4 linked regions of the Pelodiscus sinensis genome follow. The protein of the gene in region 1 binds, or shares a complex with, the protein of each later gene. Links are inferred from orthologs where the notes say so. Each region holds a gene or a part of one and is shown in the gene's direction. Other genes may lie near its edges.

What was found.
Region 2: MBTD1 (region 1) and ING3 share a complex: the UniProt entries of both Homo sapiens proteins name them as parts of the nuA4 histone acetyltransferase complex. The link is inferred for Pelodiscus sinensis from reciprocal best matches to the Homo sapiens genes MBTD1 and ING3.
Region 3: MBTD1 (region 1) and VPS72 share a complex: the UniProt entries of both Homo sapiens proteins name them as parts of the nuA4 histone acetyltransferase complex. The link is inferred for Pelodiscus sinensis from reciprocal best matches to the Homo sapiens genes MBTD1 and VPS72.
Region 4: MBTD1 (region 1) and MEAF6 share a complex: the UniProt entries of both Homo sapiens proteins name them as parts of the nuA4 histone acetyltransferase complex. The link is inferred for Pelodiscus sinensis from reciprocal best matches to the Homo sapiens genes MBTD1 and MEAF6.

What each region holds. Positions count from the first base shown.
Region 1 is NC_134730.1:15,381,820-15,389,321, reverse strand, and holds the start of MBTD1 (MBT domain-containing protein 1), read left to right. Parts: upstream 1-4,483; 5' UTR 4,484-4,484; coding exon 4,485-4,589; intron 4,590-4,876; exon of another isoform or gene 4,877-4,899; intron 4,900-5,022; exon of another isoform or gene 5,023-5,527; intron 5,528-7,502. Other genes in the region: UTP18 (U3 small nucleolar RNA-associated protein 18 homolog), read right to left, coding at 273-349, 1,445-1,540, 1,728-1,858, 3,186-3,431. UniProt on the Homo sapiens protein: Chromatin reader component of the NuA4 histone acetyltransferase complex, a multiprotein complex involved in transcriptional activation of select genes principally by acetylation of nucleosomal histones H4 and H2A.
Region 2 is NC_134711.1:42,743,947-42,751,549, reverse strand, and holds the start of ING3 (inhibitor of growth protein 3), read left to right. Parts: upstream 1-4,603; 5' UTR 4,604-4,735; coding exon 4,736-4,763; intron 4,764-4,898; coding exon 4,899-4,970; intron 4,971-5,003; exon of another isoform or gene 5,004-5,288; coding exon of another isoform or gene 5,289-5,379; intron 5,380-7,603. UniProt on the Homo sapiens protein: Component of the NuA4 histone acetyltransferase (HAT) complex which is involved in transcriptional activation of select genes principally by acetylation of nucleosomal histones H4 and H2A.
Region 3 is NC_134734.1:15,611,897-15,619,511, forward strand, and holds the start of VPS72 (vacuolar protein sorting-associated protein 72 homolog), read left to right. Parts: upstream 1-4,603; 5' UTR 4,604-4,694; coding exon 4,695-4,808; intron 4,809-5,848; coding exon 5,849-6,001; intron 6,002-7,615. UniProt on the Homo sapiens protein: Deposition-and-exchange histone chaperone specific for H2AZ1, specifically chaperones H2AZ1 and deposits it into nucleosomes.
Region 4 is NC_134735.1:9,831,208-9,838,378, reverse strand, and holds the start of MEAF6 (chromatin modification-related protein MEAF6), read left to right. Parts: upstream 1-4,157; 5' UTR 4,158-4,257; coding exon 4,258-4,353; intron 4,354-7,171.

The sequences.
Region 1 (7,502 bases):
GAGGAGACGACATACTGGAGCTGATCAGGACACCCTCTGAGTTCTATACTAGACCCACTAAATTGAACCCCAGAAGATCAACTGTGGCAAAGTTGAACTTCGGCATAGCGTAGACATGGCCAGAGAAGGCATAAAGCAGCAGGTATACAGTACACAGTAAAAGTTAAAGCAGGAAACGTGCCAGGCAACAAATGACTTTCTAAAAGGTCACACAAAATAAAGGATCATGTTGGAAAAGCGAATGCCTTTCTAATGTATTTAAATATATTTACCATCATTTGCATTTTTTCTGGCTTTCTTCTTGTGTTTCTGGGCCCAGAAAGGCACGCCTCCCATAGCTCTCTGAAATCTAAAAGAAAGGACAATTTTCATAGCCCCATTCTTTTCTAATGATTTGTGTATCATACTGCCAAAAACTGATTTTTCTGCAACTTTTCTCTCACTAATAGGTAGACATTAAAACAGTGCCTCCTAACAATTACACCATCTCACTCAGATGCAGCAGCCAGACTTCTTTTGCTGTTTTTAAATAGATCTTTTCTACTCTAGCTTCCATGAACTGATTCAGCACAGAAAATCTGAACTAAATGACATACATATATAAAATGTTATACTCATACATGCCTAGATGGCAAAGTTCACATATATAAGAAATAGTGCTGTAAAAGGTTAACTGGTAAGCTTTGCCCTTAAGAGGTAAGGCTTACCAGTTCCGTTTAACTGGTAGGGGCTAAAGCAGCTCCTTGCACACCTCTGCAGAGCCCACAGCACATATAACCACTATAATTTTTGGCAGTTACATGGGTGCATTTTTAAATCCCTAATAAAAAGGATGCTTAAATACACACATGCAATAATTAGGGCATATAAATATTATGCTATATGTAAAATTCTGTTTAAATGGTTAACTGTTTAAATGTAATGTTTAACTGGTTAACCAATTAAAAGGGGAGTGAGGAGGCTGCTCCAGCCAACCTGGGCTGCAACAGCCTGCCTCACTCCCACGGGGTTGGATGCATTTGATTGATGAAGCTACTTATTTTGTTGCTTAACGGATTTTATGAAGTCTAATTTGTATGTTAACTTCTCTCCTATGTCATATAATGGTAAGGAAACAGAAACAAGACTGTGCTCCAATGACAATAAAGCTTTCAATAGTCTCCTCTCCATACCACAGAGCAGCTGAAAGCTTCAATGACAAGCAATACAATCACATGCTAAGAATGTAGGGTTTTTTTCATTATACTAGTTATTTGTTAAGTCCTCACAACATGGTCGATGCTGTTAAGCAGACTAGCTTTAAGGAATTTAAGTTATTCACCCAAGTCCCTTGGTGAAAAAGGAGAAGAAAAAAAAAAGAGCAAATCTTACTTGAACATAACATATCTTATGTTACTAAAATTAACAGCAAAGTTTGCTAACATAATCCATTAACAATTCTTACTGTTCTTGAAGTCTCTGATTAAGTTTCTCTTTGGTAAGCTTCTTCTCTGCATCACTTTTCATCATGCCTTTGCGATAACGATGTGTCATGTCAACTCTAGGAAACAAAGCCATATTCTCAATGCTAAAACTGCAAAAAGCATAGTAGCAATCCTTATTTTCTTGAAGACTTCAAAAAGCAGCCATTTAGAACAACACACTCAGTATTTCTTCCAATTCTTGAAGTCAATACCTCTATTTCCCCTTATTTCCAGTCACATCATAACATTATGAGCTTAACTCACATTTCCTCAACTTCATCATCATCATCCACCCAGGCAGGTTTTTTAGATGCAGGAAAATTATCTTTTGCTTCATTCTCCACTTCTGAGTCACTGATGTCCTCTTTTAGAAGATTTCCTGTGACAGTATCAAGCTTAAAGAAAAAACCCATACCATATGGTCAAACACTGGACAAATTTAATATTTACAACTTTAAACAGAGAAAGTTTAAAAGACATTTTTCCATAGGGGAAAAATAAAAGAATCGTAGTAAAACCACTGCTTTTCCCATCTCCGCATGCTGGGTGTAGAGCCAGGAGGGATACAGAGTGCAGTTCCTAATGCTCCCCTCCTCCAAATGCCCACCCCAACCACAAGAATCAGACAAGCAGTTATCTCCCCTCCCATAGTCCATACCCACTATTTCTCAGGAAAGGTCATAGTTTAGAGAACAATTTATTTATACTAAAAAGACACATCTGTTAAAAAAGCCACCTATCTATTGCTACTGACAGACTAGTCTACATGTAATAAGATGCACCTTTAAGCAAGATTTTCAGTAAGTTCCAGCTGTATTCCTAGGTCTTTCACTCTTAATGCCAAAAGTCCCACTAGATCTGAAATTGATTCTGCCTGCGAACCCACATTCAGTATAGGGATGTATTCGACTAGTTGCTTCCTCCCCCACCTCCCCATCAGATGTGTCATGCCCCGCTGGCCCTGTGGTGCTTGCACATTTAAAATGTAGCAAAAGCCAGCAGGTGAAAGTGCCCTTCTCGACTAATTGAATAGTCGATGCAAATTACATCAACTATTCCATTAGCTGATTAATCTAAATTTAACATCATTAGTTCACTACCTACAAATGTAGTGGCTATTGCTACAAGCAACCCAAAGCAGTTTTATGCTTCATATTTAAAACTGCCCAGAAAAATAAGCCACATATACATTTAAGTAAGATTTTACACATATAACTCTAACCATATAAATAAGACATATAAATGTAAGTAAGACTTTAGTCAGGGGCCTATTCCCCTTCCCAACAGAGAGCAGTTGAAAGGGGAGGCTTTGCCTACATTGACTGCAGCACACAGTACAAATGGTGTAGATTTGTGCTGCAGCAAAAACTCAACTGTGTCTACAGTATGACTAACTGCACATGGAAGTGGATGGCTCTTGCGGGACGAGGCAGCATGACACTACACCACTACGAATGGCAGGGGAGGAAAGCACCAAGTGGCCACATGCTCACAGGGTTCGGGGGTGACTTTACTCGCCTAAGCATTACCGCACCAGCTACACGGCTATTTGAACCCGTGCTGCGGACAGGGAGCGCCGCATGCTCACTCCCCGTGCGGGGAAAGCGCACCCAGACGCAGGAAGAAGTGAGGCTTACGGGGAGGGGTGCCTCAGTGGGGCCCTTTCTACATCCGCCAACCCCCGTCTTTCCGATCTTTACTTATCCCCTCCCCCCGCCTCACCTTCTTGCCCCGGGCCCGCAACCGCTGCAGCGTCTCCTCCTCCTCGGCCTCCTGGCTGCCGCCGAACACCAGCTCCTCCAGGCACCGCTCCACCTCCGGCTTCCCGGACAACATCGTCAGGTGCCGGGCACGTCGGGCCTCCTCGCCCCCATCGCCGGAGTCTCCCGCCCGCGGCGACTGCCGCCGCTTCCTCTCCGCTCGAACGCGCTTCCGCGCGGGGCTCCCACGAGCAGCTGCCGGCTCCATCTCCACACCCACCTCAGAGCCTACCGTGCCCACAGCGGAAGCGTCACTAGTGAACCGGAAGTAGAAACAAACAAGTCCCGCCCTCCGTGACCTAGTAGCTACCTCCCACCCTGTGATAGGCTCTCTGCCCCCATCACGCCTCTTTCACGTGATTCAGTCAGCGCCCCCTTCAGGCAAGACAGTCTCACGTGATCCATTTCCCTCCTCCCCCCGCTTCCCACGTGATAGGTTCCCAGGCCGGACCATTCCATTGCTCACGCGGAAGGGACCAGTCCCACTTATAGGGCCTAATCTTCCAGGAGCGCGGCTCACAAACGGTAACACGGGGCTCAGAAGCAGCGAACACGCCAACTACCAGTCTGTTTTTGACACGCCGCTTCGAGCACTCTCCCACCAGCCCCCCCTTTTACAAAATAGTTTCACCCTACGGAATACGGCGAGCCAGGAGGATCCGAAGACCTGGGGGCCCAATGAGAGCGCGCGGCGGGATGGGCGCTGCGCCTGCGCCCTGCGGTTATGCTAATGTTGTTGATATTCTGGGCAGGGAGTTGAATTTCTTTCTCTGCCTAAGTGAGAGGCTGAACTTTCCAGGCCACCTCCTGCCCCAGCCGGGCCCGGCCCCTCGGAGGGGAGGGGGGAGCGAGGGAGGGGGCTGAGCCGAGGGAAGGGGGGGGAGAGCAGCAGGCATCCCCTGCCCATGAGGGCCTGATGGAAAACACAAAGGACCTGGTGAGTAGCGCAGCCCCGGGGGGAGACGAGGCAGCGGCCGCCTCTGCGGTGGGTTCGCCTGGCTTACCTGGGGGGGGAGTGGATTGTGTTGGGGGAGGTAACGCAGCGTGGGGGGCTGTGCTTGTGAGGGGGAGCCCCCGGGGGGGTCACTCCGTGGGGAGGGAATGCAGGGGCAGTGCGGGCATGGGGGGCAGCCTGCAGAGTGGGACCTGGGAGGGGGGGAACTGAGCTTGTGTTTGGGGGAGGGAGCCGAGCAGCTGTGCTGGCCGCAGCGTTTGTGTGGGAGGGGAGCAGCCAGGAGCACCCTCCAGCTTCTGTTGTTTCATGAGTCTCTGTCTCTGCTGGAGGCGGGGAGGGGGCAAAGTAGAGGGGAAGCGCGGCTGCAGCATTTCTATCCCCCATCCTCTTCCGTCCGTGGGCACGCGGGAGGTGAGGGAGCCGGAGCCGCGGCGCGAGGGTGCCCGGAGAAAGCGCTGGGGGCTGGGGGCACAGCAGCAGTTACGAGCTCCGGGGCTTTCGGCTAGTTTGCTGTCTTCCTCTCCGGATTCTCCGCCCCTCCTCGTGTGTGCCTGCGGGGAGGGAGGGCTGCAGCTCTGATCCCGGGGCTGCTTCGCTGCTCTCTTTTGTTGCGATTCCTTCTGCGGTGATTTGCAGGCTTCTCTGAGTTCCTGGGAGAGCTCTCGCTAGGAGTTTGATTCGTGCAACTTCAATCTGCATAGCAGACTCTTCTGCGAGCAGAGTAGGTTGCAGTAAATGCAGAGTAGCATCCAGTTGATATGCAATTAGTATAATTACCTGGAGGTACTCATGCTGGGACAGTGAATGAGCACAGAGCAGGGGAGTGTTCCGCAGTGTTACGAGAGAGACTTTAAATGTCTCGCTGAAATACATTGCAATATCTGTCATCACCGGGAAAGAAACGGGTGATGTGGGAGAGGACAGTACCCTCATCAGACGGGTTACCTTTTGTTGTGCTCCCTTTTCCCCTAAGAAGATTGTGTTAGATTTCATCTCTCTGCAGGCTGCCTTTTTGTCTCTGCAGGCTCTCCTGACAACCAGAAACAATAGCAATGGCAATGGGTTTTTGTTTTTAACTGAACAATTCAGACCTGCTGTGATTCCCATTGACTGGTGGGGGAGACAAGAGAGGGAATACTTTTTTTATTGTAGTATTATCTTTTTGCAATTAAGGCGTTTGCTCTGAGGGTTTAATGAAACACGGCGTTTTCAAATGTTGCAATCTCTTTACTTTTACTATTTACAATTTTGGATTTTTATAAATCCAGTGTGTAACTCCATGGTTTGGTTTGCTTTTGGCATTTCTCGCAGCTTGAGCAATGGAACTTTGAAGATAGTTTCACTTTCAGGTTTGTAGATGGATTTCCAAGTACTGTATGGAACTTCTTGGTTTTAAAGAGATGCTATTTATAGTAGACTTTTTTAAATTGATTAGCCATTTTAGTTGGTGATGGTAGTCTTCATAAAACTTTAGTCTTGCAAAATGTACATGTGGGGATATTTATAAATTGGTAGTGCCTCTTTAAAAGTTGCATTCCTTTTAAAGAGAAGTTGTCATTTAAAGCTTGAGAGTCAGTTTAGGGCAAATCTACTCTAGGAAATTATTTCGAAATAACTAAATTCAGCACAATAACACCTGAAAGAGCAAAATCAAAATAGTATGCCCACACTATGGGGAAGCCTCAAAATTAGTACAACGCAGGCTCCATTATTGTGGATGTGCTCCTTTGACTTAGAGTCCCAGGATACCCTGGGGAGTAACTACTTCAAATTACTATGGGGAGTAGCTATTTTGAAATCGCAGCACTGAGGTGTCCGCACAAATACTGTTTCCAAATAACTGTTTCAAAATAAGCATTATTCCCTGAGGAAAGCAGGAGTAAAGATTTCGAAATAACAGGCTTGGTAATATGGATGCTCCGCTTATTTCGAAATAATGGGGGTTATTTTGAAATTACTCCTTAGTGTAGACCAGGACTTAGTGATTTGATATTTTTAGTGTTGGGGTCTCAAAGTTTGTTTTTTTTATACAAGGTAAATAACACAATTATACTTCATTTTTAATAATATTAGGTAACCAATCTGAAAGAAAAATTAATCTGTACTAAATTTACCATACAAGTAGTAGGGAAAAGGGCACTCAGTCTATAAAACAGCAGCTTTGTAATTCTATTTTAACTAGCTTTTTTTGAACAAGTTGTCACAGGGACAACTGGAAACCATAGGAAAGACAAGTTTCCCAACTGGAAGTTAACATACAAAGGAACCAGCAATTTAGACTTGGGTCCTGAAAACTCTTAGGTATATGAATAACTTTATACTGTGAAACAGGATTGGAGTGGGGAAGCAATATTTCCTTAGTTTCTGGTTTATAAAAATAAATGACTAGTTGGAGGACCATTGGTTAAAATGTTTAAGGGTTCGCATTCCTTGCACTTTGATTTTTTCCCCCTTAGTCCCTAAAATTCAGCCTGATTCTGCAAGGTGCTGAGCACAGTCAACTGACAGTTAAGCCTGTTGACAGTGCTCAACAGTTGCTGAATTGTTAACAGTTGCTGTGCAAAAGGTCTGTGAAATGGAGGCCACAAACAGACAGGGAAAACTGACTATAAAATGTCAAATGCAGATACTGAAGACAAAAGTGTATTTCTATAGCTTTTCAGCTACTCATTTGACGTGTTACTTAAGTAAAACCACTGTCCAAAACTTGCCGGTCAGTTTTGGAATTCCAGTGAATCAGAAATTACATTTGGATTGTTGCTAAATTGTTTGCATTTCCTACTGTGCAACAGTGCAATTGTTCCTCACAGTGCAACAGCGGACACAATTATGCTAAAGCTTTACATTTTTAATAAGTTGCTAGAAGGAAAGTTGTTTTGATTTTAAAACAGTTGCAGTATAACCCGTTCAGTTTTTGTGTGTGTATTTTTGAACAGTGCCCCTAACCTTTCCTGACTATTGTTCCCGTTTCAGGAGTCTGATTGGTCTTGTGTACCCCCATGTTTCACCTCACTTAAAAACTGCTTGTACAGGCAGTCCCCGAGTTACGCAGTTACGAACGGGGCGTTCCTCTCCCTGGTCTCCAGCAGACCAGGGAGAGGAAGCAAAGCGGCGGAACACGTGGGCAGCGGACAGGGCTGTCCGCTGCCCACGCGCTCCGAGGCTTGGCTCTGCTTTGCCCCCCCCCCCCCCCCCCCGTCCCCCTGGTCTGCAGACCAGGAGGACAGGGGGAGGGGGCAAAGCAGAGCCAAGCCGCGGAGCGTGCGATCAGCTGACAGCCCGGACGCGTCTGGGCTGTGAGCTGGCCGGGCGCTCCGCGGCTTG
Region 2 (7,603 bases), on another chromosome or scaffold:
AAGCTGGCCCATAAACAGCCTTAATAGCATAAAGAAACCATGTGTACTCTGGGTTTCCATAAAATGTTGGAGTTCTTGCACTTTCTCAGTCCACCATTTATTCTTGAGTTCTCTGGTCTTACATTGGACTTCTGCCCTCACCTTAGCATGGGCTTCTCTCTTTGTCTTGCAATTTATATCATTCTACCAAGCATAAAATGTCATTCTCTTCTCATTAATGAGCTGCTCAATTTCAACATCATTTTCATCAAACCAGTCCTGATGATGTCTGGTGTGGTAGCCAATGGTTTCTTCACAAGTATTGATGATTACTGCTTTCAGCAGTAACTGATAAACAGCGCTAAAAGATTTCCACTCAAACTTTTATTATAGAGATCCTTGTCCCTTCCTTTGATACAAGTCACTAGATAGAATCAGGATGAAGTACTGGCTGGACCACTGGTCCTGCACTGGTATGGTAATTCTTATGCTGCTGACAAATCAACCCCATTTACAACTCTCTACCCATCACCCATCAAACTCCATTTACAATGCAAGCTGTTTGGGGGCAGAGATCATCTTTTCATTCTGTTAGTACAGTGCCTAGTATAATGGGGTCCTGGTACATGACTAGGGTTCCTAAATTCTCTGGAAATACTACTACTAAAACAGCCAAACCCTGTCCTTATTGGACTGAGATGAAACATGAAAACTTCATTCCGAAATGGCATTTTTTTAGTAAATGATGAAAGACTAGAGGAATTCAACCACAAGTCTAATTACCTCTGAGAGGGCCATGGTTTCCTATATTTTGGACTAGGGGTGTTAGATACCATGTATTTCAGTAACTGTACAGTTGGAACAGTTTTAAGCAGTTATATGGTTACTAAAAATAGTCTGGGGCCAGGGCTGGCAGCCAGTGTGCTCCCAGCCCCACTCCCAGGGAATGCCCCCTGCTACCCTATGCTGCTGCCTCTCCACAAGGAAAAATGGCTTAAAAATTGGCACCCTATGCAGACCACCTCCCACTTGCCACCCCACGCTGCTGCCTCTGATACAGAGGCAGCAGGGTGGGGTGGCAGCAGCCCCTTTTTGCAGGGGGTCTGAGCTCCCCATGAACAGAAGCTGCACCAGCATCCCACTTGCCCCCCATATAGAGGCAGCAGCACAGAGGGATGAGGGGGTAGGGGGCTCTGTGGAGTTGGCATACATGCACAAATGGCTTAAAAGCCGGCTTCCTCTGGGCACCGGTTCCTGCCTCACATCCCCTTTGCTGCCTGATAAAGGGGCAGGGGAGGTTGAGTGTAGCTATTTTAGTTAACCCATAAGTCTAGGCTTATGGGTTAATCATTTAAATGGCTATACGTTAATATCCCTATTTTGGCCCTGACCCAGAGTCGAGTGCATTCAATGGAAATATTCTCAAGTCAGTGGGTTTAAGATTAGGCCCACATCATATTTTATATAATAACTGAATATGGACAGTGGCAGCCTCTATTAGTGATTCATGTGATAATATATGGAGTTAGTTGCATAATACACTTGGTACATATGTAACCCACAAACCTTATGGATGTGATGTACTGTCTCATGTAGTGGCACTGATACCACTTACAGCGAGAAGAATGCATTTGCTCTACAGGCTCAACTGAGAACCAGCTAGCTTTTAGCTCAAGCTCTAGAGGCTCATGCACTAAACTCCAGAGGACCCAGGTTCAGTTCCACCCATTGACAATACATATACATTATATTAGTTACATACATATTGTTGACCCATGTGCAGTATTCCTAACTTCAGGGGTTCAGAAATGAAAAGTCAGGCTCCAAAATACAGAGCCAAAATTAGTTTAGTTTCAACACCAAAATACATTTTTATTTGAGGTTTTCTGGGGCCTTTTTAAAGACTTGCTATATTTTCAACCTTTTTTCTGACTGGAATCCTGGGCTGTGTCTAGACTGGCCAGTTTTTCCGGAAAATCAGCCGCTTTTCCAGAAAAACTTGCCAGCTGTCTACACTGGCCGCTTGAATTTCTGCAGAAGCACTGACTTTCTACTGTAAGAAATCAGTGGTTCTTGCGGAAATACTATTCTGCTCCCGTTCGCGCAAAAGTCCCTTTTGTGCAAAACTTTTGTGCAAAAGTGCCAGTGTAGACAGCTCAGATTTGTTTTCCGCAAAAAAGCCCCGATCATGAAAATGGCGATCGGGGCTTTTTTTGCGGAAAAGCACGTCTAGATTGGCACAGACGCTTTTCTGCCAAAAGTGCTTTTGCGGAAAATCGTCCGTGCCAATCTAGACGCTCTGTTCCGAAAATGCTTTTAACTGAAAACTTTTCCGTTAAAAGCATTTCCGGAAAATCATGCCAATCTAGATGCAGCCCTGATGTCTAGTACTATACATTTTAAAATCAGTGATGCTGCTTCCCCTGCATGATACAGAGGATATGCAGTTGGAAGTGGCAAGGAGGATCAGCAGTGCTAGTCTCCCACTGCCTGTTCAGGTTTGGGCCATGACTCTCCAGAAAGGCCTACGGACAAGATGCCAAAACAGAGTGAGTGACATTGCAACCTGGTGCAGTAGGATCACTTGTCACACAAGGGAAGGAGTGCAGGGTCATCGGTGCAGCTTTCCTTCACTGCCACAGAATGTGCTCCTGCTCCAGGCCACCAGCCTTGCAGACCATGTACTCACTGAATGATGGGATGTGACATTTCCAAGATTGCCAATCATCAGTAAATTCATGAACAGTCCATAAAGAAGAGCTAAAATTGGACCTGTTTGTAAAATCCATAAAAAAAATCTAGGTATCACTAAAAAACACTGAGCTTTGGAGCACAGCTGAGGAATCCCTCCCACTTGGTGCCAAGGCAAGCTCTAAGCTAGGGGAGAGATAGATACGTTGAAGGGTAGGGATAGGGTCCAGAGTGACCCAGACAAATTGGAGGATTAGGACAAAAGAAATCTGGTGAGGTTCAACAAGGACAAGTTCAGAGTCCTGTTCTTGGGACAGAAGAATCCCAAGCACTGTTACAGGCTGGGGACTGACTGGGTAAGCAGCAGTTCAGTAGAAAAGACCTGGGGATTACAGTGGACGAGAAGCTGAATATGAGTCAACAGTGTGCCCTTGTAGCCAAAAAGTCTAAGGGCATATTAGGGTGCAGTAGTAGAAACATTGCCAGCAAATGTAGGGAAGTGATTATTCCCCTGTATTCGGCACCGGTGAGGCTGCATCTGGAGTATTATGTCCAATTCTGGGCCACACATTACAGAAAGGATGTGGATACATTGGAGAAAGTCCAGCAAAGGGCAATAAACATTGTTAGGGGGCTGGAGCACATGATTTACAAGGAGAGGCTGAGGGATTTGGGCTTATTTAGTCTACAGAAAAGTGTGTGTGGAGGGGGAGTGGGGGGGGATTTGATAGCAGCCTTCAGCTACTTGAAAGGGGCTCCAAAGAGGCTGGAGTCAGGCTGTTCTCAATAGTGACAGATGACAGAATGAGGAGCAATGGTCTCAAGTTGCAGTGTGGGAGGTCTAGGTTGGATATTAGGAAAATCTATATTACTAGGAGGATGGTGAAGCAGTGGAATGGGTTACATAGGGAGGTGGTGAAATCTCCATCCCTAGAGGCTTTTTAATTACAGCTTGACAAAGCTGGGATGATTTAGTTGGGGTTGATCCTGCTTTGGGCAGGGGGTTGGACTGGATGATATCTTGAGGTCTCTTCCAACCTCCATGATTCTGTGATTCACTGGGCAGCTCCAGGGACTCTACAATTTCCATGGCAGGGGCAGAGAGGGGAATTCTCCTGGTGAAGATGGCTTCAGTCTCTGATGGTTGGAGGATGCTGCCTCCAGTTTTGAACTCTGTTTCGGTATCCTTAAAGTCAGCACAGCAGCAACTTTTGGTGAGTGTGTGTGCAGCACACACTTCTGCCTGGCTCCCTTGGACTGGGAGAGATGAGTACAATGTGCTGGGCATCAATCACCAACTGCCTGCTGGTAAATCACAGGACTGGTGGCAGCCCCCAGTCCCAGCTCCTCCCCCTCTCCCCCCAGTCACTTCATCACACACTGGAGAACTTGGAGGGCTCTGATGTGACTAATAAGTAGGTGCAACTAGCATAATAACTTTGCTGTGTGACCTATGAATTAAAACAAAGAATATTGTTCACTTTGATCCTTTTGAGCCATTTTCATGTTACATAAGAATGTGTCCGAACACAAGCCGGGGGGGGGGGGGGGTCTGTATTTTTTTTTTCTAAACGGTCCATAAAAATCACTTTCAGAAGCTGGCTAGCCTGGATGCCGCCCTTCGGCAGCGGCTGAGCACAGCGCACGGTGCCTTGGCCAGCGCCGGCCCGTGGAGATCGCGCTGGGGCTTGGCAGCACCCCGCCACGCGCTCCACACCCCGCCTGCTTCTGCCTCGTGGATTAGCCCCGCCCCTCAACTCCGGGGCGAGTCCGTCTCTACTGGGAGGAGGGCAGCCGCCGCTGGGCGGTGCATTGTGGGACATGTAGTCCCGGCTCCCGCCTTCACACGGCTACTACGTTTCCCAGGACCTTGCGGGCGGGCGCGAGCCATGGCGTACGTCAGAGGCGCAGGCAGCCAATCGGCGCAGGGCCGGAACGAGCCCCGTCCGCCGCCAATGTTGTTTTCGCCGAGTCGAGGTGCTGGTGTTGTTGGCGGCGGCGCCATATTGGAAGGGACGATCCCCGCGTTAGCGAGAAGCCCCTTCGCGCTGGCCTCGCCGCCGCCATGCTGTACCTGGAGGACTATCTGGAGAGTGAGTGCGCGCGGGGCGGGGGTCCCAGCCGGCCGGGTGGCCGAGCGGGACGGGGGCGGCAGCGAGGGGGCTCCCCCTCCCCCTCCCATGGCGGTGATTGACTGCTCCCTCCCCCTCCCCTCTGTGTCCCCGCAGTGATCGAGCAGCTACCCATGGATCTGCGCGACAGGTTCACCGAGATGCGCGAGATGGACCTACAGGTGCAGAGTACGTGAGTCCCGCCCACCTCCCGCCCACGCGCCCAGCCCGCCGGCGGGGGCGGGCGCGGACCCAGCGCTCTCAGTCAGGCGTTGGCCGGCGGCGGTAGCGCGGCTCGTAGCCGCTGCTCCCGGGCTGAGCGGGCCCGGCACGAGGGGACGCTCCTGCCCAGCGAGCGGTCCGTGCGGGTGCCGGGGGTAGCCGCGGCGCCTCACGCAGCGAGGGGCGGAGCGCGCTGGGCGGAAACGTGCCGAGCTGTTTCCCTTCTGCCACCGGCTGCCTCGTGACCTCGAGCAGCCATGGGCGAGCGGCGCCGGGTGTGTTGACATGACACCGAGCCGAATTCGGGTCTGCAGATGCCCTGCGGCAACGCCAGGGGGAAGGAGTTTCACTGCTGGGGCTTGTGCGGCGCCCCAGGGCAAGTCAAGGTGGCACTTACCAAGCGGTGGGGTGCTGGCTCTCAAGTCCCTGGCAACGGGCTGGAGCTTCACTTGCCCCCTTCTATCAGCCGGAGGCTGTGCACTGTGTCTGAACCATCCCTGCCTAGGCATGCTGGATGAAGGAGTTCCCTACACATCCTTTTCCGGTTGCTGGCACCCTAGCTGTGCTTGTCAGGAATCCAGTCTTCTTGGGTATCTTTGTGGTATTCCTTTTTGCCATCCACTTATGGCTCATTTTCTATTTTTACTTTTGTTTTTGGGAGTCCTGCCTTTTGACTTCCTTTGACCACTTGTTCCTGTAGGGATTCAGTGACAGGATACCACAGAGGATGTCTACCTGGGATTAGGTTTTTGCTTTGATATGATTCTTCACGAAATCTCCGCTCTTTGTGAATCTGAGGTGTTGAAACATCATGCTTTAAATAATTTCTTTGATTTCCATATGTTGTCTTGATTTCTCAGACAGGTAGGAAGGCAACTCAGCAGCATCATACTATATCCTGGAGATGATCTTTAATGGATGAGCAAATTAACAGGTTTGGGCCTACAGTAGTGCCTTGGATCCTCTTGCAGATGTAACCCAATTAACTTAAGTATGGTGGAGAATGCCACCTTGAGGCACAATCCTGAAGACTTTCATCCATCTAGCAATAGATCAATCCATAGGTTTCTGAAATAAAAGCCTTAACCAGTCTTGATCTCTGAACATTGAAATTTCTTGTTGTCCCAGTGGGTCTGGTTCATCAGTCTCACCATCTCTGTTGAAGCATTCTGCACCTGCCCTCTATATCCAAGGACTCCGACGTGTCTCAGCCTTTGTGTACTTTAGGCTTCAGGGCTTGGAGTCATTGATATTGAATTATGACTTAAAAGGTGTTGCTAGTTCTTACAATGTAAGTAGGTGATACCAAGAGAAAACCTGCAGCCCTTTGATTTTTGGCAGCCTCTAACTGAGACCACAAATATATCTCTTTGACTCATGATTTGGTGCTTCTTTGGACGGGGGTGAATCTTTTCACACACAGTATTTTTTTTTTTAACCAAGATTACCCTAATGTCATGGGAGTCAATAGAAAAACTTTTTTCCCAGACCTTTGTAACTCCAGTGTTTCTTGTGCTTCACAAAGTAGTGTAGAGCTTTCCAAAGTAGTGTAGAAATTCCAGGCACTCTTCTTATCTCTTCCAATCCAGCTGTTTGTGATCATGACTGCTGGTTGGACATTACATATGAATCAGAGAACTCTTGGGGTGCAGCAAGACTGTGATCAATGCAAGGATCCCATCTTCCCAAAATTTTTAAAACAGCTGTGTAAGTCAACTGACTTGAGTGGGTGTTGGTTTAGAAACTTAGAAGTGACATCTGGGCCAGGAATCCCTCTCTGTTAGAATTAAAATTACTCTTGCACCATGTTTTAGACCATCTGGGGGACTGGGAACCTCTCATTACTAAATAGTCATAGAAAAAGTATATAACTTCAAGTGATGTGTTGAAAGTTTTTAAGATCAAGTTGTAGATTACCAAGCTTATGTAGCCTAAGGCCAATCTCTGGAAAATGCCTTCACCCTGGTAGAACATTTTGGCAAGAGAAATGCCAAGGTCTTTAGAAAATTGGCTCATAAGGGCTGCTATTCAATGATTAAGAAAAAGTTGTGGGTTGTGTCCTGTACCAGACCTCTTTGAGGACCTAAAAAATAAAGAATGGAAAGGCTGCCCTTCATTCTTTTGGCCCTCCTCCCGCAAAGGAGGGGAGGGAAGACCTTTTTTTCCCAAAAGCTGCCTCTTATTAACCATAGTGGATTTCAAAGGAACTTGGCTGAACAAGCTATTAAACCAGCAAAAAAACCTTGCTTTTAAAAAAATTGTTCTGAAGTATTTAGATATCTGGTCACTATTCCTGTGAGTACCTTTTATTGTCTTGGTGAAAAGGGGAGAATAAGAGCTCTTTGGGCATATTGGTCATATGCCATTGTTCTATGTGCTGTAAGATTAGGTTTTAAAATGGTGTAACAGAGCAGCTGAATTTCTCCCTGACTTCTTGAAAGCCATTTACCCAAAGGACTTAAAAAAGCAAGTGGACATTGTTTGGTATGTACATAGGCTTGCATAGATACCTTGATTTGCCCTGCACAGAAACTAGCTGGCTATGTTTTTCTTCTATTTGAGTTCTATTAAAGGCTTAGTCTGATGTGGTAGCTTTTTCA
Region 3 (7,615 bases), on another chromosome or scaffold:
AAACCCTTCAGCTCTTACACCCACATGTGTATCCACCAAAGCCCCAAAATAGGTCCAGCAAGATTTGCTATTACAAGAATCAATATTAAAAATAGATTACCTGACAAGCACTCCATCCCATGTGGCAGAATGATTCTGGGAGTTACTGGGTGGCCTTATTCTAGATGCTGTAATTAGTTACATTTTATTTTGCTTAAGGCATTCACTGAGTAACCTCCCCCCAACACATCCTTTAACAATAATACACAAAAAACAGTCCTTATACGCTAAAGAAAAATAATTGACAGCTGTTAAAATAACACAGAATAATCCTGGTAACTAAGATCCAGATCCTCAAAGGTGTGTAGGTGCCTAATTCCCATTTGAGGTAGGCCCCTAAGTACCTTTGGCTTTGAAAGCCGTTACCCGTTGGTCAGTGACAATGCCCCTACATCTGGTCTGCACATATCCTGGGCTGAATTTATCTGTGATGTAACTTCCTTGAAATCAATGGAGTTTTATCAGGGAAGGAGCTGGCCTCTTTTGTCTCACAATAATTAAGCCTGTCGCCTTGCAGTCTGTACTCGGGCAAAGTTCACATTGACTTAAAAAAATATGCATGAACATTAACTTCATTCCCATGTTTGCGCTCGAACCTTTAGACAACACTGTAATGAATCTCAGAAAGCAAAAGCAATTTCAGACAGACAACGCAGCACAAGCAAACAGCAATGCACATGCACCGTTTGGATTCTCAGCCTGGTTCCTTATTGTCTTGAGTGTTGCGTTGTTATTTACATTAATGCAAAGCGGGTTTTAAATTATATTGTTCCAATGCAGGGTAACCATCAATCAAGCCAGAGAGAGAGGAAATCTTAAAGGGCAGCAAAGAGCAGAAGGATGTGAGATCAGATAGGTAATGGAATGAGTGTTATCATACAATCTCCAAACATTATTTCTTACCACTTATACGAGGAGGAGCTATTGGTCCCAGCAAACCTGAAACTAAAACCCAAGTGAGTCAAGTTAGATTTCCTACATTTAGGCCTGGTCTGCAGTACACAGGTCAATGTTAGCTGCCTTGTGGTGATCTGGCTGTGGAAGTGACTTCATTTACATTTGGCTCCGACTGGTGTTTATGTGCCTCTCTATGCCAAATTAGTAATACATCTCCCCAAGCGGCGTAGAGTCATGGTCAATGAAATTAGGGCTGACCCAGCGTCAGTGTAGACACTGAGATACTTATGTCAACTGTTCGTGCCTGTCAGGAGCTGTCTCACAGTGCCCCACACTGGCAATACAATGGATACTAGAGCTCCTGGTAGTATCCACCAACACAAGGAGCCAAGCGTGCATGCACACAAGCAATTCAATAGCTGCAGTGGCTGCATGAAGATGTAAGTTAGGTCGACAATGAGCACTTATAATAATAATATATGGTGATATACCATCTAATAGAGCTGGAAGGGACATTGAGAGGTCATTGAGTCCAGTCCCTTGCCCTCACAGCAGGACCAAGTAACATCCCTGACAGATTTGCCCCAGATCCCTAAATGGCCCCCTTAAGGATTGCGCTCACAACCCTGGGTTTAACAGGCCAAGGCTCAAACCACTGAGCTATCCCTCCTCCTTCAGAGGCAGGCACCTTCGTTTTCCCCTCCCCAGAACATCTCACCAGCCAGAGGGACTTAAGGATCAATTCCCTCCCCTCCCTTCCAGCACCTGGCCTTTACAATCAGCTGCTTTGCAGTGTGCAAGAAGAGCTGGAAAGGAGCACTCAGGAGAAGGGGTAGAACTGGCCAGGAAGAGGCAAGGCAGGGGCCCAACATGGAAAGGAAGAGGCAGGGTGAGGGTGGGGCCTGGTGAAGGGATACAGTGGAGGTTGAGTCTGGGGTTGAGCACTCCTGGGGAAAGGAGGAAGCTGGCACCTGTGTCCTATGGTGTGAAAAAACCTGAAAGTTCCAAATTCAGAATCACAGAACATATTTTAGCAACAAAGCCGATCAAGAGATAATTAGTTCATCATGCATTATTAGCTGAGTTTTGTAAGTTTCTTCCGGGTATATTATCAATCTAGATTTATAACCAAGATGAGTTAATCATGTTGAGAAATCAGAAATGAACACCCCATAACAAAGGCATGCTTCGTGGAAAGTGTTCAAAAAACTTCCGCTGCAGAGACAGTGCTAGTGAGAGTCAAGATTTGGTTTATTTTTCTTTGTGGACCAAATTAATCTCTTGCTGTTAGTGAATGCAATTGCTGTTGACTTCAATAGGATTGGGCATACTGAATCTGGCCTATGGATCTTTGTGTCTTACACTGGGATAAGACCAATGGGCAGATGTATTTCCCATTGGAGGCCACAAACCCATTGTGCTGTGGTGGAATTATAACGAGGAGTCCTGTGACATATTTGTTTGGGCATAAGCTTTTGTGGACAAACCCCCACTGTGTTAGATGCTTACAGTATTTTTTTTGTCCACACACAGGCCCATTGATGGGGAGACAAAGGGATCTGGCAATTCAGAGGGAGTGGAGTAGAAGTGGTGGGAGCCTGGGCCCTGTAAATCACTATGGGAGCACTGCATGGCGTGCTCCAGGTGGCTCTGAGGTTTGGGAGAGAGGGCAGCATGGCACACTCGAGGCCGGGGTGGGCAATAATTTTTGACTGGGGGCTACTTCAGAAATGTTTGAAGTGGCCCCAGGCTGCTGGAAGGGGCGGGACCTCAGGCAGAAAGGGCAGGGCCATGACACTTCAGTGCTTCTCCACCCACAGACTCTGATTGGTCTGGAGACAGGGGAGCACGCAAAGTCTTTGTCTCTCACCCCTGCAGAGAGAATTGCCAGCTCTTCTGAACAGCTGGCAGTTCTCTCTAGGCACCCGTTCCCCAATGGTTGGAGGAGACTTCACGTGCTTCCCCTCTGCTTCCCAAGTCAATCAGGCCTTGGGGGAGGGGGAGCACGCAAAGTTTCTTGCTTCCTGCCCCAGACCTGCAAGGGAGTACCACCCTTAGGCCTTGTCTACACTGGGCCACTTATTCCGGAAAAGCATCCTGCCAATGTAGACGCGCTTCTTCTGGAAATACTTATAACGGAAAACTCTTCGGCTACGTCTAGACTGGCCCCTTCTCCGGAAGAGGCATGCAAAGCAGGCAAGTCAGAATAGGGAAATCCACGGGGGATTTAAATATCCCCCGCGGGATTTAAATAAACATGGCCACTGCTTTTTTTCCGGCTTGGGGAAAAGAGCGTCTAGACTGGCGCGATCCTCCGGAAAAGGAATAAGAGATCCTCCGGAAAAGGGCTTTATTCCGGAGGATTGCGCCAGTCTAGACGCTCTTTTCCCCAAGCTGGAAAAAAAGCGGCGGCCATGTTTATTTAAATCCCGCGGGGGATATTTAAATCCCCTGCGGATTTCCCTATTCTGACTTGCCTGCTTTGCATGCCTCTTCCGGAGAAGGGGCCAGTCTAGACGTAGCCTTCCGTTTTAAGCATTTCTGGAAAAGGGTGCCAGTGTAGACGTAGCCTTAGAGTCAACCGCCAGCAGAACAGCAGCTGGTGGTTGACTTTAAGTACTGAGCTCCTTGCAGGGCAGGAGGAGATTTTGTGCGCTTCCCCCATCCCCAAGCCCTGATTTGCCTGGGGATGGGGGGAACATGCAAAGTCTCCTCCCGCCCTGCCCTTGTTCTGCAAGGAACATGCAGCGCTTAGAAGTGCCGTACACTCCTGGCAGGATGGGAAGAGACTTCCCGTGCTTTCCCCTGCTCCCAGGCCCTGATTGGTCTGGGGGTGGCGGGGGGGGGGGGGGGGAGCACACAAAGTTGCTCATTCCCTGCCTTCTAGCGCATGGTGCTTAGAGTCAACTGCCAGGGTTCACCGTGCTGTGCGCTCCCCCATCCCTAGGCTCTGATTGGCCTGGGGGGTGGGGGAGAGGCAAGGCCAGATCAACGCACTTGGTGGGCCAGATCTGGCCTGCGAAGGCCCTTTTACTCATCCCTGCTCCAGGTGGTGCTGAGGGCTTCCCAATCCCGCCCCCTCCTGTCTGAGGCTCCGCCCCTTCTGGGAGCATGGAGCTGCCCAGCCTTGCCCAGGAGCCCAACAAGTCTGTCAGCCTCCCAGCTCAAACCAGGAGGCTTCATGGCTGCAGGGAAAATTGAAAATAACAACACCTTTAGCATCAAAATCCAGATGGCCAGTAATGGATGATTTTTTTTGTATTACTAGAAGACGAACCCGGCATTGCTCAAGTCAAAAAAGTTTTTTTTTTTTCATTTAAATCATTGTTCTGCAAAGGGGCGTGGGGTTCGGTATTCAGGCTGCCCTGGGGAGAGAGGACCACTCCAGCCCTCTGTCACCGCAGCAGCTTGGGGCCAAGTGAGAAGCATCTGTCCATGGCCACTACAGCTCCAGCGGGCACAGCTAGGGGAGGGGTTCATGTCCCCCAGCTGGGGGGCTGACAGACACACAGACAGGCTCTCTGGAACGTGCAGTAGAGGAGCTGTCCCTGTCTCTGCTTCTGTCCCCAGCTGGCCCAGTGGGGTTCTACCTGGGCAGCCTGGCTTCCATCGATCGCTCGGTGCTCCATGGTTCTCCACTGGCCGCGCCTCCCCGCCTCGATCTCTCGGCGCTCCGTGGGCTGGATTCGCTCGGCGGTGCGCTCGCTCTGGCCTGGGCCAGGCCTGAGCAATCGCTCGCGGGGCCCGGCGGCTGGGGGATGAGCCTGGCGGGGGGCAGGGCGCCGCGGCGCACGGCGGGGAACCGGCTCGCGGGGCTGCTGGAGGCGGAGGAGGATGAGTTCTACCAGACCACCTACGGGGGCTTCACGGAGGTGGGGGGGCTATGGAGGGATTGTAGGGGGGATACGGGGGGGCTGTGAGGTGTCCCTGGGGGGCGGTGGGGGGATTGTAGGGGGGATACGAGGGGGGCTGTGAGGTGTCCCTGGGGGGGGTGGGAGGCTGTGGAGGGATTGTAGGGGGGATACGGGGGGGCTGTGGGGTGTCCCTGGGGGGCGGTGGGGGGCTGTGGAGGGATTGTAGGGGGGATACGAGGGGGGCTGTGGGGTGTCCCTGGGGGGCGGTGGGGGGCTGTGGAGGGATTGTAGGGGGGATACGAGGGGGGCTGTGGGGTGTCCCTGGGGGGCGGTGGGGGGCTGTGGAGGGATTGTAGGGGGGATACGAGGGGGGCTGTGAGGTGTCCCTGGGGGGAGTGGGGGGCTGTGGAGGGATTGTAGGGGGGATACGGGGGGGCTGTGAGGTGTCCCTGGGGGGGGGTGGGGGGCTGTGGAGGGATTGTAGGGGGGATACGGGGGGGCTGTGAGGTGTCCCTGGGGGGGGTGGGGGGCTGTGGAGGGATTGTAGGGGGGATACGGGGGGGCTGTGAGGTGTCCCTGGGGGGGGTGGGAGGCTGTGGAGGGATTGTAGGGGGGATACGGGGGGGCTGTGAGGTGTCCCTGGGGGGGGTGGGGGGCTGTGGAGGGATTGTAGGGGGGATACGGGGGGGCTGTGAGGTGTCCCTGGGGGGGGTGGGGGGCTGTGGAGGGATTGTAGGGGGGATACGGGGGGGCTGTGAGGTGTCCCTGGGGGGGGTGGGAGGCTGTGGAGGGATTGTAGGGGGGATACGGGGGGGCTGTGAGGTGTCCCTGGGGGGTGGTGGGGGGATTGTAGGGGGTATACGGGGGCTGTGGGGTGTCCCTGGGGGTCGGTGGGGGGGCATCAGTCCCTTGTGGAGGTTGAGTTGGGGACTGGCTGGGGTGGGGGCAGTGTGGGTGGGGAGCAGAGGGGCCCATGGGAGGGTAACATGCTTGGGCGAGTGGGGGCAACTCACTTCTGACTGTTGTTTCCTCCCCCCCCCCCCCCATCTCCTGGGCAGGAGTCGGGCGATGATGAGTACAAAGGCGACCAGTCGGACAGCGACGACGAAGTGGACTCCGACTTCGACATCGATGAGGGTGATGAGCCGGCCAGCGACCAGGATGATGATGAGCCCAAGAGGAAACGCAGGGTGGTCACCAAAGCCTACAAGGTGAGGACAGAGCAGCTGGTCATGGTGCTGGATGGCTCCCGCTGGTTCTGTATTTGGCAGCACCCACTAGTCATGGATTAGGGATACCCCCCTGTGTGCTGGGTGCTGTATGGCCCATGAAAAAAATGGTGGTTTTGGCCCCAAAGAGCTTCCAATTTGAGTAGATGACAGGAGGTGCCAAGTGGATACAGATGGGGGAGCACAAGAAAACAATGAGACAACCACAGTCAGTATGATGGGCAGTGTTCTCTACACAACAGCTGGCTAACCCCTGTTTCTGACATAGCCCTGTGGGGCTAAGGGAGGGACCCATATGAAAACTGCTGGCAAAACTCTCAGTATAACCAGATTATAACCTAATTTAGGGGATAACTGGGGAGTTGACAGCAATTCCATTTATAGGCTGTTTTATTTATGTTCTTAGCTGCAGTAGAAGCTTGAAAGCATAGTCTTCCAGAGCAGGAGTGCAGTCTCCTGGGCAGGACTCCTGGGTTCTATTTCCAGCTCTGGGATGGAGTGTGGTCTCAAGTTTAAGCAGGAAATTTGCAGTCAGGACTCCTGAGTTCCATTTTTGGGTCTCTGCGCTAGGTATGTGAAGGACTAGTCAGCTATCCAATAAGTAAACACTTATCGGATAGTCAACAGGATAGTCAACCAGTCACTTCCCCCCCATTTGCCGCCTCTATCAGATAGAGGCAGCAAGGGCGGAGGGAAAAGAGGAGGTACTTCAAAGTGGCAGCACCACATGGAGCTTGGGGTCTGTAAGGCGCTGCTGACTCTGGGCTCTGTAAGGCGCTGCTGCTTTAAAATGCCACAGGAAGCCTGGTGTTGGGCTTCTTGTGGCATTTCACTGCGGCAGTGCGGGGGGAGCCCGCGATCTGCCTGGGCTCCACACAGTGCTTTTGCTTTTGAAATGTAGCAACAGCCCTTAGGGCTGTTGCTATACTTCAAAGGCGGAGGCGCCCTATTGACTAATCAAATAATCGATGCAAAATGCATTGACTATTCGATTAGTTAATTAGTCGATACTTAACATCCTTACTTTGCGGGAGTGATGTTAAGTGATTAGAAACTAACCATAATAAACAGACCATAGTACAGGCAGTCCCCGGGTTACGTACAAGACAGGGACTGTAGGTTTGTTCTTAAGTTGAATTTGTATGTAAGTCGGAACTGGTACATATTGTAGGGGAAACTCTAGCCAAACATTTCTCCAGAGCTCAATTTTATTCCCCCACACCTCACTTCCCTCAGTCCTTTATTCTCAAGCTAAGGTGTCTGCTGAGAAAAGCCGCTCCGTGTCTCCCTGGTCTGCTGGAGGGAAGCAGCTAGTGCGGGGTTGCCTCACCCCGTTTGTAAGTAGGGATCCGATGTAAGTCAGATCCATGTAACCCGGGGACTGCCTGTAATAGTAAAAGTAAATCAGAGACTGAAAATGTTCTTTCTGTAATCAAAGGTGTAACTAGTATTACGGGCAGAGCACTTTTAAAAAAAAAAAAAAAAAAGGCATTTATGTCAGCAAGGGCCTTCTGGCAAAAAGCAGCAGCAAAATCCCTTGTTTAAATAATCCCTTTAATTAAATGGGGCTGAAATCTCCAAAGCAGCATTATATAG
Region 4 (7,171 bases), on another chromosome or scaffold:
ATACAACTAAAATTTGGAGAAAACTTGATTTTTTGTTTTAAGTTTTACAGCCCTTTATTGTTTTTGTACTTTATACACTGAAAAATGTCATCACCCGCCCGGCTACGATTAAGTTGTTTAAAAAATGTGTTGGAATGGTAGAAAAAAATTGTGTCTGAAAACTGTAGGTACTGAGAGTCCTTTTTTTTAAGGGGGTACTTAATTTTTTTAAAGGGGTATTTTATTAAAAAAAAGGCTGAGAAACACTGCTGTAGATTACTAGATCCAATGGTTATCTTCTGAGGAAGTGGGTCTGGCCCACAAAAGCTCATCACCTAATAAACCATCTCGTTAGTCTTTAAAGTGCTACATAGTCCTGTCTTTTGTTTCAACTAGACCAGACTAATATGGCTGCATCTCTATCACTATTCTAATGACCCTGATTGATCTATGTAACAGGACAAGCTATGAAAGAAGTCATTGACCGGTCTACTGACAGTTGTACTGATGTAACTATGTTGGGTGGGGATGTGATTTATTTTTAAATGTTAACTGTTATACTAGTGCAAACTGTGGATGCAGTTATTCCCCTTCCTGTAGAAATAGCTATATAGAGATTCAGAGGGGTAGCTGAGCTAGTCTTTAACACGAAAAACTTAAAAAACAACAAATAGTCTAGTAGCACCTTAAAGACTAACAAAACATGTAGATGGTATCATGAGCGTTTGTGGGCAAAATTCACTTCAGTATAACAAGTCCTCCGGTCATCTGAAGAAGTGGGTTTTGCCCACGAAAACTCATGATACCATCGACATGTTTTGTTAGTCTTTAAGGTGCTATCGGACTATTTGTTGTTTTTTAAGTTTATATGAAGATTGTTCATCTTTACAATCACAATTGCATCCACACTAGAGGGGTGTACTGATTTTATCGCTTCAGTACTAGGCAATTTACTTGGCGTTGCCCGGGTCCTTACCTCAATTAATTTTTGTTTTTTTGGAAAATAAAATTGAAATGTGTGTGCTTCATTTAAATCATCGCTCTGGCATGGGGCTGGGGACGAGGGGTTCAGTACGCAGATGGCCCAAGGAGAGCGAGGAATATCCTAGCCCTTTCTCACTGCAGCTGCTTGGAGCTGGGTAAGAAGCACCTCCCCATGGCCACTGCAGCTCCAGTGAATAGAGCTGGGAGAGGGGTGCAGGTCTTCCCCCTGGGGCAGGTCCAGGTTCATCTGCCCCCTGTACTCTCCAGCCAGAGTGAGGAATATAGCAAACTGTGCACTTTCCTCTGGTTATCTGACAAATGGAAATGACCAGCAATGTCCCTGTATAAAAGAGGTAGGGGTGGAGAGCTTCGCCCCCTCACCCACTCTACCTGAAGGGCACCTGGGAGATGGAAGACTTGGGGCTGAGGCAGACCTGCTGGGTGGGGAGGTGGAAGGGGTGCAAGTCCCCCCATCCAGCCCCTTTCACCTTCCTGGTGATTGTCTCTCTTCTGTATGGTTTTATGAGAAGCAATCCCATTCCAGGCACATCCCATTTTTCTGGCACAAGAGGAAGCTGTATACCAAATTTGGTGGTCCTAGCTCTTACCTTTTAGGAGGACTTCTTGAACAAACAGACAAACTCTCTCAAATATATAGTAGATTAGAAGACTTACCCAGTGTTGCCCAAGTCCTTCAGGGCAGGAGGCCTGAGGTCTGCAGAATATAGGAAGGTCGCCAGGGACTCTCCCTCCCCTGTGGCGAGGTGGCCTGCCAGGGGCTCCCTCCTCCCGGGGCTTGCCCTTCCCCCTCTCCCTTCCTGGGGCAAAAAGGGGCTGGCAGGGACTGTCTTCTGTGCATGGGGGCCCCATTTACCCCGTTGGGTGGTAGGCAAGATGGTGACCCCTTTTCTCACTGGCCGCTCTCAAGGTGATACAGCTGCCCAGTTTCTCTGTACTATTGATCCTCTGTGCTCCCTGCCTTCCGTGAGTATAGCATCTCTCCAAACAGCCCTTCCCTTTCTGGAAAAGTCCTATTCTCTATAATTCTCATTTTCCTGGCACAACCAAACTCTGACCTTGCTTTAAGTTAGGAAAAGAGGAAGCTGCCTACCAAATTTGATGGCCTTAGCTCTTACCATTTAGGACTTCTTGAACAAACAGACTCACAGACAGATGCATACAGTATTTCTAAAATATATACACAGCTAACACAGTGCAACTTTTCAGTGCAGACAGGGCCTTATTGGCACTCCTGTGTGTCACATAGTTTAATTCTTATGCTAATGGTCTAAACAGGGATCCTGGATGGCTCTCAAACTATCTTCCACCTTTTAATAACTTAACCAACCAACGGAGGTGCTAATGGTTCTTAACTGACTCCTGTAACTACTTGAACTATCTACTCACCATCTACATGTTTTGCTAATCTTTGAAGTGCTACTAGAATAATTGTTGTTTAAGTTTTATCTACTCATATCTCTCTTTTTCTTCCTCCCCTGCCCTTTTTCTCTCCCCCCTGCCCTCCCACCTTCCCTTTTCTTATTTATCCTTGGATCTGGACTCATTATACTCCAGTCATCTGAAGAAGTGGGTTTTGCCATGAAAGCTCATGATACCATCTACATGTTTTGTTTGTTTTTAAAGTGCTACTAGACTATTTGTTGTTTTTTAAGTTTTTACATACTTTATTAGCTGGTGTCAGTAACTTGAATCTTCAGCAAAAATGGAGCAAATGAAAAATGGATGTAGCTTTAGTATTTCTAAATCTTCAGGAAAGCAAGTGGTATTGCATAGAAGTCAGAGAAGAAGGTTCATGTTTCATATGCAGCAGGAGCAGAGCCATTACAAGCTACAGTATGTTTCAAGGGAACAATGAAGGACATTACACACTTCTAAATAAACTTATTTTAAAAACTCAAGAACATTCTGATCTCTCCAAGAATGTTCCTTAGGAGGTACGTTTTCTTTACAAGAAACTTACTGCCAGGAAGAAAAAGCTGATCATTTTGCCAAACAAAATCATGTGAGTTTGCATAGTTAGTAGCCAGGGCTAATTAAAAACAAGCTTATTTGGAGTACACCTGATAAGATTACTGGAAGGTCAGGAGATGAACCTGACTCCAGAGAACAGTGAGTATTGACTTGGCTAATAACAATAGCTTCCTCTAGGAAAATATTAAACAGTGAAAATACGGAAGGGTGTCCAATTCAAAATAAAAACTAAGGGCTTGTTCAGAGGTGAATGGGATATTGGGGGGGACTGAGGATGGGGTCTTAGTGCTTCTCTGGGAAAAGGTTGGATGAGGGCACCAGAGGCTGCCTGAGGGGAGGGCTCTGTGTGCAGTGTGGATAGGATGGGTGGCTCTGAGTGGGGGTGCTATGTGTACATGGTAGATGAGGTGCAGAATGAATGGGTGTCCTAGTGGTGGAGGGGCTCTGGGTAGATGGACATGAGGGTAGGGATGATGTGGATGGCGTGTGTGGGGGATGCTGAATAGGATGCCAAAAGGGACTCTGCAGGGTAGATGGGGAGGGCGGTGAGGGGGTCCCTGGGCTGCAAGGGAGGGTCCCCGGGCGGTGGGGGGGATAGTGGCGGGGGGCCCCTGGGCAGTGAGGGGGGGGCTCGGCGGTGACTGGGGGTCCCCGGGCGGTGAGGGGGGGCTCGGTGGTGAGGGGGTCCCCGGGCGGTGAGGGGGGGTCCCTCGGGCTGTGAGGGGGTCCCTGGGTGGTGGGGGGGATAGTGGCGGGGGGCCCCTGGGCGGTGAGGGGGGGCTCGGCGGTGAGGGGGTCCCCAGGCTGTGAGGGGGGGCTCGGCGGTGAGGGGGTCCCCGGGCGGTGAGGGGGGGGGTCCCTCGGGCTGTGAGGGGGTCCCCGGGCGGTGAGGGGGGGGTCCCTCGGGCGGTGAGGGGGTCCCCGGGCTGTGAGCGGGGGCTCGGCGGTGGGGGGGGTCCCTTGGGCTGTGCGGGGGGGTCCCTCGGGCGGTGAGGGGGGGTCCCCGGGCTGTGAGGGGGGGTCCCTCGGGCGGTGGGGGGGGGTCCCTCGGGCGGTGAGGGGGTCCCCGGGCTGTGAGGGGGGGTCCCTCGGGCGGTGAGGGGGGGTCCCTCGGGCGGTGGGGGGGATAGTGGCGGGGGGCCCCTGGGCGGTGGGGGGGCTCGGCGGTGAGGGGGTCCCCGGGCGGTGCCGGGCGCGGGGGGTCCCGAGGCGGGCGGGTCTCAGCGCTGCCCCCGGCGGACCCGGCCGGCAGCGCACGCGGCTCCCGCCCCCTCCCGGCCGCTCCCGCCCGCCGCAGCCATCATGGCGGCGCTGCACACCAAGGCCGGGGGCCCCCCCCAGATCCCCGACACCCGCCGCGAGCTGGCCGAGCTGGTGAAGCGCAAGCAGGAGCTGGCGGTGAGGGGCGGGGAGCGCGGCCCGACCCCCCCCCCCGGCCCGTCCGCCCGGGCCGCGACAGGCCGCGCCCGGGAGCCGGCTAGGCCGCGACTCCCCCCCCCCGCCCTGCGCAGCCTCGGGTCCCACCCCCTGGGGGCACCGGCCCTGGGGGGCAGAGAGGATGGGGGGCTGGGGAATGGGGGGTACTAGCTCTGGGAGGGAGAGGGTGGGGGCTGGGGAATGGGGGGTACTAGCTCTGGGAGGGAGAGAGGATGGGGGCTGGGGAATGGGGGGTACTAGCTCTGGGAGGGAGAGGATGGGGGCTGGAGAATGGGGGGTACTAGCTCTGGGAGGAGAGAGGATGGGGGGCTGGGGAATGGGGGGTACTAGCTCTGGGAGGGAGAGGATGGGGGCTGGGGAATGGGGGGGTACTAGCTCTGGGAGGGAGAGGATGGGGGCTGGTGAATGGGGGGGTACTAGCTCTGGGAGGGAGAGGATGGGGGCTGGGGAATGGGGGGTACTAGCTCTGGGAGGGAGAGAGGATGGGGGGCTGGGGAATGGGGGGTACTAGCTCTGGGAGGGAGACGATGGGGGGCTGGGGAATGGGGGGTACTGGCTCTGGGAGGAGAGGGGCTGGGGAATGGGGGGTACTAGCTCTGGGAGGGAGAGGATGGGGGGCTGGGGAATGGGGGGTACTAGCTCTGGGAGGGAGAGGATGGGGGCTGGGGAATGGGGGGTACTAGCTCTAGGAGGGAGAGGATGGGGGCTGGAGAATGGGGGGTACTAGCTCTGGGAGGGAGAGGATGGGGGGCTGGGGAATGGGGGGTACTAGCTCTGGGAGGGAGAGGATGGGGGGCTGGGGAATGGGGGGTACTAGCTCTGGGAGGGAGAGGATGGGGGCTGGGGAATGGGGGGTACTAGCTCTGGGAGGGAGAGGATGGGGGCCTGGGGAATGGGGGGGTACTAGCTCTAGGAGGGAGAGGATGGGGAATGGGGGGTACTAGCTCTGTGAGGGAGAGGATGGGGGCTGGGGAATGGGGGGTACTAGCTCTGGGAGGGAGAGGATGGGGGGCTGGGGAATGGGGGGTACTAGCTCTAGGAGGGAGAGGATGGGGGGCTGGGGAATGGGGGGTACTAGCTCTGGGAGGGAGAGGATGGGGGGCTGGGGAATGGGGGGGTACTAGCTCTGGGAGGGAGAGGGTGGGGGCTGGGGAATGGGGGGTACTAGCTCTGGGAGGGAGAGAGGATGGGGGCTGGGGAATGGGGGGTACTAGCTCTGGGAGGGAGAGGATGGGGGCTGGAGAATGGGGGGTACTAGCTCTGGGAGGAGAGAGGATGGGGGGCTGGGGAATGGGGGGTACTAGCTCTGGGAGGGAGAGGATGGGGGCTGGGGAATGGGGGGGTACTAGCTCTGGGAGGGAGAGGATGGGGGCTGGTGAATGGGGGGGTACTAGCTCTGGGAGGGAGAGGATGGGGGCTGGGGAATGGGGGGTACTAGCTCTGGGAGGGAGAGAGGATGGGGGGCTGGGGAATGGGGGGTACTAGCTCTGGGAGGGAGACGATGGGGGGCTGGGGAATGGGGGGTACTGGCTCTGGGAGGAGAGGGGCTGGGGAATGGGGGGTACTAGCTCTGGGAGGGAGAGGATGGGGGGCTGGGGAATGGGGGGTACTAGCTCTGGGAGGGAGAGGATGGGGGCTGGGGAATGGGGGGTACTAGCTCTAGGAGGGAGAGGATGGGGGCTGGAGAATGGGGGGTACTAGCTCTGGGAGGGAGAGGATGGGGGGCTGGGGAATGGGGGGTACTAGCTCTGGGAGGGAGAGGATGGGGGGCTGGGGAATGGGGGGTACTAGCTCTGGGAGGGAGAGGATGGGGGCTGGGGAATGGGGGGTACTAGCTCTGGGAGGGAGAGGATGGGGGCCTGGGGAATGGGGGGGTACTAGCTCTAGGAGGGAGAGGATGGGGAATGGGGGGTACTAGCTCTGTGAGGGAGAGGATGGGGGCTGGGGAATGGGGGGTACTAGCTCTGGGAGGGAGAGGATGGGGGGCTGGGGAATGGGGGGTACTAGCTCTAGGAGGGAGAGGATGGGGGGCTGGGGAATGGGGGGTACTAGCTCTGGGAGGGAGAGGATGGGGGGCTGGGGAATGGGGGGGTACTAGCTCTGGGAGGGAGAGGATGGGGGCTGGGAATGGGGGGGTACTAGCTCTGGGAGGGAGAGGATGGGGGCTGGGAATGGGGGGGTACTAGCTCTGGGAGGGAGAGGATGGGGGCTGGGGAATGGGGGGTACTAGCTCTGGGAGGGAGAGAGGATGGGGGGCTGGGGAATGGGGGGTACTAGCTCTGGGAGGGAGAGGATGGGGGGCTGGGGAATGGGGGGTACTGGCTCTGGGAGGAGAGGGGCTGGGGAATGGGGGGTACTAGCTCTGGGAGGGAGAGGATGGGGGGCTGGGGAATGGGGGTACTAGCTCTGGGAGGAGAGAGGATGGGGGGCTGGGGAATGGGGGGGTACTAGCTCTGGGAGGAGAGAGGATGGGGGGCTGGGGAATGGGGGGTACTAGCTCTGGGAGGGAGAGGATGGGGGGCTGGGGAATGGGGGGTACTAGCTCTGGGAGGAGAGAGGATGGGGGCTGGGGAATGGGGGGTACTAGCTCTGGGAGGAGAGAGGATGGGGGGCTGGGGAATGGGGGGGTACTAGCTCTGGTAGGAGAGAGGATGGGGGCTGGGGAATGGGGGGTCCTAGCTCTGGGAGGAGAGAGGATGGGGGGCTGGGGAATGGGGGGTACTAGCTCTGGGAGGGAGAGAGGATGGGGGGCTGGAGAATGGGGAGTACTAGCTCTGGG